Callithrix jacchus: one gene and its partners. The protein of the gene in region 1 purifies or fractionates together with the protein of each later gene. This does not show direct contact. Links are inferred from orthologs where the notes say so. Each region holds a gene or a part of one and is shown on either strand. Other genes may lie near its edges.

What was found. The genes of interacting proteins can lie anywhere in the genome.
Region 2: the proteins of NFKBIA (region 1) and TRIM22 purify together in Homo sapiens (affinity purification with western blotting; 3 studies listed by BioGRID). This does not show direct contact. The link is inferred for Callithrix jacchus from reciprocal best matches to the Homo sapiens genes NFKBIA and TRIM22.
Region 3: the proteins of NFKBIA (region 1) and ARRB1 purify together in Homo sapiens (affinity purification with western blotting; 3 studies listed by BioGRID and IntAct, with this or other methods). This does not show direct contact. The link is inferred for Callithrix jacchus from reciprocal best matches to the Homo sapiens genes NFKBIA and ARRB1.

Annotation. Positions count from the first base shown.
Region 1 is NC_133509.1:69,916,354-69,920,750, reverse strand, and holds the start of NFKBIA (NF-kappa-B inhibitor alpha), read left to right. Parts: upstream 1-1,583; 5' UTR 1,584-1,692; coding exon 1,693-1,907; intron 1,908-2,515; coding exon 2,516-2,624; intron 2,625-2,954; coding exon 2,955-3,165; intron 3,166-3,462; coding exon 3,463-3,551; intron 3,552-3,658; coding exon 3,659-3,919; intron 3,920-4,268; coding exon 4,269-4,316; 3' UTR 4,317-4,397. UniProt on the Homo sapiens protein: Inhibits the activity of dimeric NF-kappa-B/REL complexes by trapping REL (RELA/p65 and NFKB1/p50) dimers in the cytoplasm by masking their nuclear localization signals.
Region 2 is NC_133511.1:71,285,807-71,289,450, forward strand, and holds part of TRIM22 (E3 ubiquitin-protein ligase TRIM22), read left to right. Parts: intron 1-2,719; 5' UTR 2,720-2,777; coding exon 2,778-3,197; intron 3,198-3,644. UniProt on the Homo sapiens protein: Interferon-induced E3 ubiquitin ligase that plays important roles in innate and adaptive immunity.
Region 3 is NC_133511.1:65,682,361-65,686,004, forward strand, and holds part of ARRB1 (beta-arrestin-1), read left to right. Parts: intron 1-783; coding exon 784-867; intron 868-2,064; coding exon 2,065-2,088; intron 2,089-3,644. UniProt on the Homo sapiens protein: Functions in regulating agonist-mediated G-protein coupled receptor (GPCR) signaling by mediating both receptor desensitization and resensitization processes.

The sequences.
Region 1 (4,397 bases):
ATCATTACTACCCTGGAGGTTCTATCTGATTTTAATTTTTTTTCCTTCACACTTGGTCTATCTCTGTTGAGTCAGATTTCTTATATTCTAATATTGGGGGAAAGGTGGAGATTTGAAGAGAGGGGAAGGATTGGTTAGTACATGGCCAGTCAAGGTAAAGATGACTGCAATAATCACCAGAAATCTCTGCAGAACTATAGAGGCCTCCCGGGACTAATCCTGAAGAGCTCTGATTGAAGTTTGCTTTCTTTTGCCTATACCAACTCTATCAAGTAGAATTCAGTCCATGACTTGTAGACTTGGAGGTGGAGATGGGGTGGAGAGCAAAAATTCTATTTCTGCAGGTAAAACCAGAGCACAGTGAGCCCAAACCCCTTTCTACCTGGGTGGCATGAATGAGTCCAACTGCTACCGTCCCCCCGGACAATGGAGCAAGGAGGGGCGGGCAGGACCAGACTGCCTTCAGCCTCCCGCAGGATGCCTGGCAACTAGTTTCTTAGTGGTCCTTACGGTCCAAGCGCGGTTTAAGGTACTAACTAAACTCATTCTTCAGTCTCCTTCTCCAAGTGTTCCTGGAGAATTGCTCAGTTTGCACCCAGAAGTAGGCTCAGGATCCATTCTCTGCAGCAGCACAATGTAGGTCAGAGAGCATGAACAAAATCGCTACTTAGGAACACAATAGTTATTTTGTTATTGCAAAGTATCCACAACCACTACTACAAAGATTAGCACCTAGCTTTACTTAGGGGGAAGAAAATCCTGGTCCTATTTAGCAGTTTCCCCCGTACAGGGAGAGTTCACCCCTCCCCCAGTCAACAGAGCTCTTCTTCCATAGGAACTTATTTGAGAGTTCTCCAAGGATTTAGGTTTTCACTCCAAAGCTTTCACAACTTCTATCTGGCGGGGTGTGCGGGGGTGGGGGTGGGGGTGGGGGTGGGGGTGGGGGTGGGGGTGGGGGTGGGGGTGGGGGTGGGGGTGGAGAAGCTAAGCGTCCCGGTGCTGCAAAGAGCCTGGTATTGGTAGAAACACGTCGGCGGCCTGCAGCCTTCTAATCACAGTGCGTCCTTCCCCTTAGAGAGAAGTCTGCGGAAAGCAAATCCCTACACCCAGCCATCATTTCCACTCTTGCGTTTTCAAAAGATCAAAAAACGGAAAAGACCGGCAGGTTGGCAAACCCCAAAGAAGGACTGCCCATCAGGTCGGCGTCCTTGGGATCTCAGCAGCCGACGACCCCAATTCAAAGCGATCGTGGGAAACCCCAGGGAAAAATGGTTAACTTGCAGAGGGACAGGATTACAGGGTGCAGGCTGCAGGGAAGTACCGGGGGCAGGGGGCCTGGTAGGAAGGACTTTCCAGCCACTCGGCGCTCATCAAAAAGTTCCCTGTCCGTGACCCCAGTGCCTCATCGCAGGGAGTTTCTCCGATGAACCCCAGCTCAGGGTTTAGGCTTCTTTTTCCCCCTAGCAGAGGACGAAGCCAGTTCTCTTTTCTGGTCTGACTGGCTTGGAAATTCCCCGCGCCTGACCCCGCCCCAGAGAAATCCCCAGCCAGCGTTTATAAGGGCGTTGGGGCGGCGCTGCAGAGCCCACAGCAGCCCGCGCCGCCGTACCGTTCGCCAGCGCTCCAGCGAGGAAGCAGCGCGCAGCCCGCGGCCCAGCGCACCCGCAGCAGCACCCACAGCTCGCCCGAGCAATGTTCCAGGCAGCCGAGTGGGCCATGGAGGGCCTCCGCGATGGGCTGAAGAAGGAGCGGCTGCTGGACGACCGCCACGACAGCGGCCTGGACTCTATGAAGGACGAGGAGTACGAGCAGATGGTCAAGGAGCTGCGGGAGATCCGCCTAGAGCCGCAGGAGGCGCAGCACGGCGCCGAGCCCTGGAAGCAGCAGCTCACCGAGGACGGGGACTCGTAAGTGGCGCGGGCCAGGGGTCGTTGGGAGGACCGGACGCGCGCAGGCGGGGCTTGGGGGGTGCTGGGCCTGCAGCCCGAGCCCGGGGACCAGCGCTGCAGCCGGGCCAGCACCGCGGCGCCCCGGGGCTCCTGCACGGCGCCGAACGCTGCAGGGCCGCAGGGCCGCGCGGGACTCCGGCTGGACTAGGAGGGGCAGAGGCTCGGCTCTGGTGGACCGCAGCGTCGCCACACGCCCCCTCCCCCCCATCCGTCCTCTAGGCCGGGGGCGGGGCGGCGGTGGGGACGCGAAGTCCCCGGTTGCATAAGGCGGGGCGGGAGTTTCTGGCCGCTGGCGGGCGCCTTGCAGCCGGGAGGGGAAGTACAGGGCGTTCCGAGCCGGCGGGAGGGCGGGGCGGTCTGGCCGGCGCCCGCCGAGGCCTGAAGGAGGGGGGCGGAAAGTCCCTGGGCGCCTGCCAGGAACACTCAGCTCATAATAACCTCGCGGAAAACACCGCGGCCTCGGCCTCCAGAAACCCCGGCCTTGCGCAATCCCCCGCAGCCCGCGCCTCCCTGGGCCCCACGCGGTGCACTCACCACCCCTGGGGGTTTTTCCCTCTTCCCCACAGGTTCCTGCACTTGGCCATCATCCATGAAGAAAAGGCACTTACCATGGAAGTAATCCGCCAGGTGAAGGGAGACGTGGCCTTCCTCAACTTCCAGAACAACCTGCAGCAGGTGCGCACGTGCCTGGCCCGGGCTTTCTTTGACCCTGGGACAGAGCTGATGTAGCAGAGTCACCCCAGATCCTTTCTGAATTAAGGGCCACTGGGCATTATTCACCCCTGCCGTTTACTTCGCATCAGCCCCCATCCTAGAGAGGGAAGGAAATTCTATGGATTTGGTGAGGTCTTTATGACCCACCTGGAGCCTCTGCTATTTGCCAGCCCTCCCCACCCTCCCACCTGGGAGGAGCAGCACCCAACCAGGAGACATTGGGGATCCGGGGAACTCGGGGTGTGGGTTTGATTCATGGCTTACTCTCTCTGGTTTCTCTTGCACTGGTAGACTCCACTACACTTGGCTGTGATCACCAACCAGCCAGAAATTGCTGAGGCACTTCTGGGAGCTGGCTGTGATCCTGAGCTCCGAGACTTTCGAGGAAATACCCCCCTACACCTTGCCTGTGAGCAGGGCTGCCTGGCCAGCGTGGGAGTCCTGACTCAGGCCTGCACCACCCCACACCTCCACTCCATCCTGAAAGCTACCAACTACAATGGTATGTCTGCCTTCCTGCCCTGCCCCACCCCCTCAGAGGGCAGGTGACATGCAGAAAGGGCACGTGGGCCAACTTAGGGAGTCCAGGAAAGAGCTTAAACTCCCAACCTGTGAAAGATCGAGAAAAGATGTGTGCAATATGCCTATTGGATACATTTTAAAAGTCCCTTCAGAACCCAGACTGGGGTTCTTAAAATTCAGAAGACATGACTGTTTGTCCCATAAAAGAATAGGTGAAAGGTGCTGCTTTAGGAGGGTTGAAACAAATGGTTATGCTTTTTTCCTTTTGTTCTTCCAGGCCACACGTGTCTGCACTTAGCTTCTATCCATGGCTACCTGGGCATCGTGGAGCTTTTGGTATCCTTGGGTGCTGATGTCAATGCTCAGGTGAGTGCTTCCTGCCTCCCATGTTCTGAGTCAAGCTCCTCGTGCTTGTGTTGCAAGCAGAAATTCCAAACGCAGCCATAGGCATCTCAAATTCCTTTTGGTTTCAGGAGCCCTGTAATGGCCGGACTGCCCTTCACCTCGCAGTGGACCTGCAGAATCCTGACTTGGTGTCGCTCCTGCTGAAGTGTGGGGCTGATGTCAACAGAGTTACCTACCAGGGCTACTCCCCTTACCAGCTTACCTGGGGTCGCCCAAGCACCCGGATACAGCAGCAGCTGGGCCAGCTGACACTAGAAAACCTTCAGATGCTGCCAGAGAGTGAGGATGAGGAGAGCTATGACACAGAGTCAGAATTCACGGAGGATGAGGTGAGTCTGAACTGCTTCAGTATTCTGTGAAATTAATGGCGGGGGGGCTTTCCCTTCACCCTCCCAGTCCCCTAGAGCTGCTCTTCATTAGAGGAATGTCCATGTAATGAATCTCTCAAATTTCTGTGTATAACCAGTATCCCAAGAATGTGCCTTTTTTTTTTTTTAATAGCGCACTGTTTTTTTTAAAAGAGAAGCATTAAAGGCAAACTCCCTCAACCTGTAAAGTTCACTATATTTGGGCTACGGAGAATGGAGTCCAAGTGTTATTTCCAGTAGCAGCTTCCCCATCCCAATAGCTTGGCAGAGCTCCAGAAGTTTAACGTTCTTTTTTTCCCTTTGTTTTCAGCTCCCCTATGATGACTGTGTGTTTGCAGGCCAGCGTCTGACATTATGAGCACAAAGGGTCTGAAAGAACGTGGACTTGTATATTTGTACAAAAAGAGAGTTTTATTTTTCTTAAAAAAAAAAAAAAAAA
Region 2 (3,644 bases), on another chromosome or scaffold:
GGGACAGACTTTATCTCTCCACTACATATTCTCAATATATTTGGCCTCCTTTATGAATTGAGACTTTTCTCTCATGACCAACAGATGTTTCTTTGAAATGTATATTCATTGGGTGCATGTCATGTGTGTGATTCCATAACTATTTTAGCTTCTTTTCCTCTTCCCTACAGATATACACCTTTAGGTTTTTATCATCATCCTTGTCATATGTCCAGGCCAAGGTGAAATTTCAACATTTAAAACCACAGCATACCCCAGAACTGCATAGATTTGGATCTCTCCATTTCTATACACCTATAGCATTGGGCACCAATATAGCTCTTCTAGCCTTCACCTTTATTATCTGTTTAAATCTATGCAGTAGTGGAGAGAACTCTGAAGGAGGACCTTGGGGACAATACATTCACTCTTTACATATTAGATTAGAATGAGTGATCTTTGTAAGTCCCTTGCTTCCATTGACACACCTGAAGAAAGGGAGTATTCTTATTTCTCAAGGGTTTTGTATGAAGAATAAATAAGTCACAATGATTTCTAAATTGTAACTGGTTATAAAATTGTTCATGATAAAATTATTTTCCTATTATGGTGGCAGTGGTGGTGGTGGTGATGGTGGTGGTGGTGGTGGTGTGTGTATGTGTATGTTTGTGGGGAGTGAGTGTGAGGGCTTGAAAGGACTTGCTATGAGTAGATGTATTAGGATGTAAATGCTTCTTCACTGGAAACCATAATTGTGGCCGTAAGCTCAGCTATTGGGAAACTGATTATTAATGGAAAGAAAAGATAAAAATCTGATTAAAAGGTCTGATCATCTATGGAGGCATAAGGAGGTTCTAGCTTTATATATTCGTTTAGCATTTTATTTCTATATGTGATTCACTCTTCTACATTTTTTCTGATGATAAAAATCTGATTAAAAGGTCTAATCGCGGTGGCTCACGCCTGTAATCTAAGCATTTTGGGAGGCTGAGGCGGGTGGATCACGAGGTCAAGATATCGAGACCATCCTGGTCAACATGGTGAAACCCCGTCTCTACTAAAAATACAAAATAAAAATTAGCTGGGCATGGTGGCGCGTGCCTGTAATCCCAGCTACTCAGGAAGCTGAGGCAAGAGAATTGCCTGAACCCAGGAGGTGGAGGTTGCGGTGAGCCGAGATCGAGCCATTGCACTCAAGCGTGGGTAACAAGAGCGAAACTCCGTCTCAAAAAAAAAAAAAAAAAAAGGGTCTAATCATCTATGGAGGGATAAGAAACTTCTAGCTTTATATATTCGTTTAGCATTTTATATCTGTATGTGATTCACTCTTCTAGGTATAGAGGGTAAATCAATGAACAAAAACAGTACCAGTTCTATGCATGGATTACTTTTTTTTTTTTTTTTGAGACAGAGTTTCACTCTTGTTACCCACGCTTGAGTGCAATGACGCGATCTCGGCTCACCGCAACCTCCGCCTCCTGGGTTCAGGCAATTCTCCTGCCTCAGCCTCCTGAGTAGCTGGGATTACAGGCACGCGCCACCATGCCCAGCTAATTTTTTGTATTTCTAGTGGAGACGGGGTTTCACTATGTTGACCAGAATGGTCTCAATCTCTTGACCTCGTGACCCACCCGCCTTGGCCTCCCAAAGTGCTGGGATTACAGGCTTGAGCCACCGCGCCCGGGCATGGATTACTTTTTAGGAGGAAGAAGTAGACATTTAAATAACAATGTTATATATTACATCTAAAAATAAGAGAAACCAAATGTACAGTGAGTGATATTGCTGGTGGTTTTGCTGTAAGTTATAGCATGTCCTTCTAAGAAGAGGACATGTAAGAGGAGACTGAATTAAATGTAAGAGTGAGTCTTGCTGTTGCTGACATCAGGGGGAGAGTCATTTTATGCAGAGAGAAGAGGAAGGGCAAAAGTGTTGAGGCAGTCATAGATTTGATAGTTTAATTGAGAAGGCGTTTTTGACATGGGGGAAAAGGGCAGAGTAGATAAACCTGAACAGTGTAAGTAAAATAAGTTAGACACCAAAGACCCTATATATTCTGCTTTTATGAATTGGTTAAAAACCCGAAAGATTTTAGTGGTTGCCTGGAGCTTGGAATCAGAATAGGAGTGATGGCATTAGGTTGTGGGGTTTTTTTTCAGGTGATAAAAATTGTTTAAAATTGGGTTACATTAATAGTAATATGGTTCCACAAATTTACCAGAAATTATGAAATTACACTTAAAATGAGCGTGTTTGATGCTATGTAAATACAACTCAGTAGTATTCACTAGTATTAATACTAGTGAATTATGCACATGCTGGGGATACAGTCATGCCATTCAGAGAGAAAAGCATGTGTGCAAGCCCAGGGGCAGGAGTGTGTTTTTTGCATTTAATGTGGAAAATGTGTTTTGGGTTGAGGGACAAAGGGCAGGACAAATGACGGGTTACATGAGGCTTTTGGTAGAAGAGCCTTAGTTTGCTCCAGTAGAAAAAGAGAAAATAACTATAGTTGCTTTGATGGGGTAAAATTTGTCCCAAGACAAAAATTAAGAATAAGGTGTTTGATATTACTACAAAGTCCTTTTAATTCTGTCATTGGTTTATTCTTCATGTCTTTCTTTTCTCCTTTCTCTGTTAAATATTAGTGTTTTCTCCTGTTCTAAATCTTGGTAAAATCAGTATTCTTTCTATTCCCTCTTTTCTTATCCTGTTCTCTTCAACATTCCCAACACTGCAGGAGTTTGTGACCAAGAACTTCGAGGCTCAAGACAGAAAGAAGTCAAGGGAGCAGTGCAATGGAATTTTCAGTAAAGGTAGACATAGGGAAGGAGGTGACCTGCCCCATCTGCTTGGATCTCCTGACAGACCCTCTTAGCATAGATTGTGGCCACAGCTTCTGCCATGCCTGCATCACTGCAAAGAACAAGTCAATGATCATCTCAGGAGGGCAAAGCAGCTGTCCTGTGTGCCAGACCAGATTCCAGCCTAGGAACCTCCGACCTAATCGGCATCTGGCCAACATAGTTCAGAGAGTCAGGGAGGTCAAGATGAGCCCAGAGGAGGGGCAGAAGAGAGATGTCTGTGAGCACCATGGAAAAAAACTCCAGATCTTCTGTAAGGAGGATGGAAAAGTCATTTGTTGGGTTTGTGAACTGTCTCAGGAACACCAAGGTCATCAAACATTCCTCATACAAGAGGTGGTCAAGGAATGTCAGGTAGGTTCCAAGGCAGAAGAAGAGAGAGCAGAGAGCAGAAGATGGGACCTGACATGAAATCTCCACTTTTCTTTTTAATCCTTTTTTATTCCCCTGTCACCATAGAACTGAGAGCCATGTGATCTCTTTCCATATTCTTTGCTTAGTTTCTGAAGCTTGAAGGACGTTGCTGCACATTGTTTCTATTTAAAGATGAATACAAATTTTTAGCAAAGAAATGTTGAATGAATGGAGAATTGCTTTGTAAGATAAGCTGTAAATGGCACTCTGAGCAGAAAGGTGTTTTTGGGAGCATATCTGGTTAGATGTGGGAAGAGTGGCAATGAGAGGAAGCCTTTCCTTACTGCAGGGTCTGCTTTTTCTCTAGGAAAAGAATGAGGCTACTCTTGATAAGGGGTTGGTGACTTTGTTGGAAGTAAATGCTCGGTGTTGCCATGTGAATATAGC
Region 3 (3,644 bases), on another chromosome or scaffold:
CAGATGGGGTATCCCTGAGGAAAGACCAGGGTGGTGAGCTGAGTTAGACCCAACATGGGGTGCCCCTCCAAGTCAGTGGCCCCAGGGCCTCTGGTCACTCCTGCTGCTTGGTCATCACAGATGCCTCGAGGCTGCTCCACTCCAGCAGTGCTCTGTGTGTGGGGCTGCCATCTTTCCCTCTTGCAAGTGTGGTCCTTCGTCGGGGCTTTGGCCTGTGTCTAGAGCAGCCTCCACTCCCAGCATGAACTCAGCTCTCTTCCCAGCAACTACACATCCTCCCACTTACCTGAAGCTTTTGGCCCCATCTCCACCCTGGCTCGAACTTTACCCATCTTCAAGACCCAGCTGAGGCACCACCTCCACGGAGAAATCCTTCTCTGACAGTCCCCACCCCACCCCAGCAGCCTCGCTCTCTGTGAACTTCCCATCTGGCCCTTTCTGCTCATAGGTTGCTGAGAGAAGCAGAGTCCATCTGAGGGGAGGAGGAGCCTGCCCCTCACCGTGGGGATGCTGGCCTGGGCAGGGAGAGGGGCTCAACGTGGCCACACAGCGAGCGAACCTCACAGCCAGACGTGCAACTGGGGCTCTGGCTCCCCGCTCCCTAATGGCATAGCTTGCCTTCCTCACCTCCACTGGGCTCCACACTGGGCTCTGTTGGACATGGTGGCTGAGAGGCCAGCCAGATAGGGGATGGATAGCCAGTGCCCCCCAGCACACCCACCCCTGCAGGGTCTCGCGCATCCCTCGAGGCCACTGAACCGGCTCCCCTGTGTCACTTTTCAGGTTGAGGGAAGGCGCCAACCGTGAGATCCTGGGGATCATTGTTTCCTACAAAGTGAAAGTGAAGCTGGTGGTGTCTCGGGGCGGGTGAGTGCTCTAGCCCAGCCCAAGATCCCTAGTGCAGAGGGGAGCATCCCAGATGCCCACAGTCCCCTGCCCCATTCTGCCTATTTGCTGTCCTTTCAGCTGCATCCACCTTGGAGCAGGACCTCCTGTCCCTTCGCTTCCTCCCTTGTGGTTCCTCTTTCTCCTCCCCTGTCCACTTTCCCTCTCTTCCATCCTTGGCCCTCAGCCCCTCCCTCAGCCCCCACCCATCTCTTTCTCGCTCTCCTTCTCTTCTATCCTGGGTCTGGGCTTGCGCTGAGGATTGGCCATGCCCAGGCGACAGAGTCCTCAGAGTCTATGTTGTGGGGTCCCCCAGAGTGCCATATTCCTCATCACACCTTGGGACATAGCACCCACCCCCATGCATGCCCAAGCTGATTTTCTGAGGAAGCAGCTAAAAGGGCTCAGAACCCACAGCTGGATTGGGGATTTGCTAGCTGGTCAGCTTTCCCATTTTACAGATGGTGAAACAGAGGCCCAAACAGTGCCCCAAACATTGCCTGAAGTCTCCTCCCCTAACTCAGGTCATGGGCTGGGGTCACAGCAGTGGACCAGACTTTCCTGCCATGGAGCGTAATTTGGTGGAAGCTTGGGGAGGAAAAAAAAAAGCAACTACCTTTTCTGTGTGTGCGTAACTTAGTTCATACATTTCTATGAAAAGATTGAAAAGCTGAATCCCATTAGACATTGGGTCTCCTTGGTTATTAGAAGAATGCCTCTTGGCAGGTGGCACTGTGTAATCCTGACCTTATACAATAGGACACCTGAAGATTACAAATCCCAAATGCTGTGTCTGGTGACCTTTCAGGACCCACAGTCTCTCAAACATTCTTGGCAACCCCGGAGTCCTTCCCTCTGCCTTTAGATAGCCCGGCCTCCCTTGGGGTAGTTAGCACCAGGGTTAATTTTCACACTGCCTTCACAGATGAGGATCCTGGGGCTCAGGGGGTTTTTGAGCTGGGTCTAGATCCCAGTCACCCAGGGCAGCGCTAATGCCGTTTCTACATATCCCTGAATGAGCAGTCAGGGCTGTGCCGGGTGGGGCGGGGGCGGGTGGAGTGTGTCCCGTGGGTCTTCTCTATCTGGGGGCAGCAGAAGTGGTGAATGAATGTGCTTTTTGTTTTCTTCCTCTCTGAACTCTCTCCTGACCACTTCTCCTGCCTCCTCTGACCCACCCAGCCTGTTGGGAGATCTTGCATCCAGGTAAATTCCTCCCTTCCACCTGATTCACCCACCTTCCTGGAGGGCCTGGAGCCGATTGGCTTGACTGACCAGAATCACAGGGCACTGGGTTGGAAGGAATCTTGGTGGTCATTTCAGATTGCCAGGTTCAGGTGTGAGCTGGGAGACACTGTTTCTCTTTAACAAACCTCACTTTGCTCTTCCACCCGAGTGACAGGGACCTTTACAGAGAGCAAAGCCCGATTGCATTGATACAGGGAGTGGCCCCCAAGAGGGCTGTTTGAATTACCGATCAATTGAATTATAGGAGCTTTTGGAGAAATGCAGACTTCATGGCTTTCAAACTTCCGAACTAATGAGAATGAGCTGCTGCTGGCTGAGAGTTGCTAAGGAGAGGTCCTCTTTTGTAAACACAGCTTCCTTGCAGCCAGCTTGATGCACTTAGATTCCAAACATGTCTGTACCCTACACACAGCAGTTTGGCCTTCTGTCACAAGATGGCAGTGTGGCTCATCCTAAGAAATCTTAGCCTGATTTGACAGGTGAAATTCGTTTAATTCAATTCAGTGTAATATCATTCAGCAAGGATTTCCTCAACCCAGGCTGGTACCTAGGCTGGTGCTGAGTGCCAAAGTCCCAGAGAGGAATCAGATGTGCCCCCTGCTCTTATCGTTCCTGGCCTGGTAGAAGATTAAGGTCCAGATTCTTTCCCTAATGTTGGCAAACTTGCTCTTCCACCAGCTCCCCAAAGCAAAATGAAAAAAAAGGAAGAAAAAAAGTCCAAATAGTTCTGACAGCCTTATAAAACCCCAGGTTCCCACTGGGGGAAGTAATGATTATGGCAGGCACAAGCTTCACATTTTCATTTTATATTTTTATTCTTTTTGAGACAAGGTCTAATGCTATTGCCCAGGCTGGAGTGCAGTGATACAGACTTGGTTCACTGTGACCTCCTCTGCCTCCTGGGTGGAAGCCATCCCTCCACCTCAGCCTCCTGAGTAGCTGGGACTACAGGTGTGCACTACCATGCCCAGCTAATTTTTGTATTTTTAGTAGAGACGGGGGGTGGGGAGTGGCATCTCACCATGTTGCCCAGGCTGGTCTCTAACTCCTGAGCTCAAGGGATCTGCCCGCTTTGGCCTCCCAAAGTGCTGGGATTATGGGCATGAGCCACTGTGCCCCGCCAAGCTTTACAGTTTAACTAGCATTTAGCTGCCTCACCTCTAGGAAGTTCCAGTGGCTCTAGAAGACAGGTATTGTTATCCCGACTTCGAAGCTGAGCTCAGTGAGACTCAAAGCCAGAAATTGCTGCGCCAGCGAGTGGCAAGGCTGGCAGAGCAGACCCTTCTAGTTGCCTAGCTTGTGCCTCTGACCACTCCGTTCCCTTTCCCTTTCTCCTTCCCAGCTGGGCTCTGGGCAACAAGATCAGTGAGATGTGGCCTGTGCCTGGAGGCACTCACAATTGGGGGGTCTCCTAGGGTGATGCCACGCCAAGCTGAGAGGAGCCTTCGGGGTTGCTTTTGTTAGTCTCAATCCTGCTACTGTCACACAGTGGCCAAGGGTGTGGTTATGGAGCC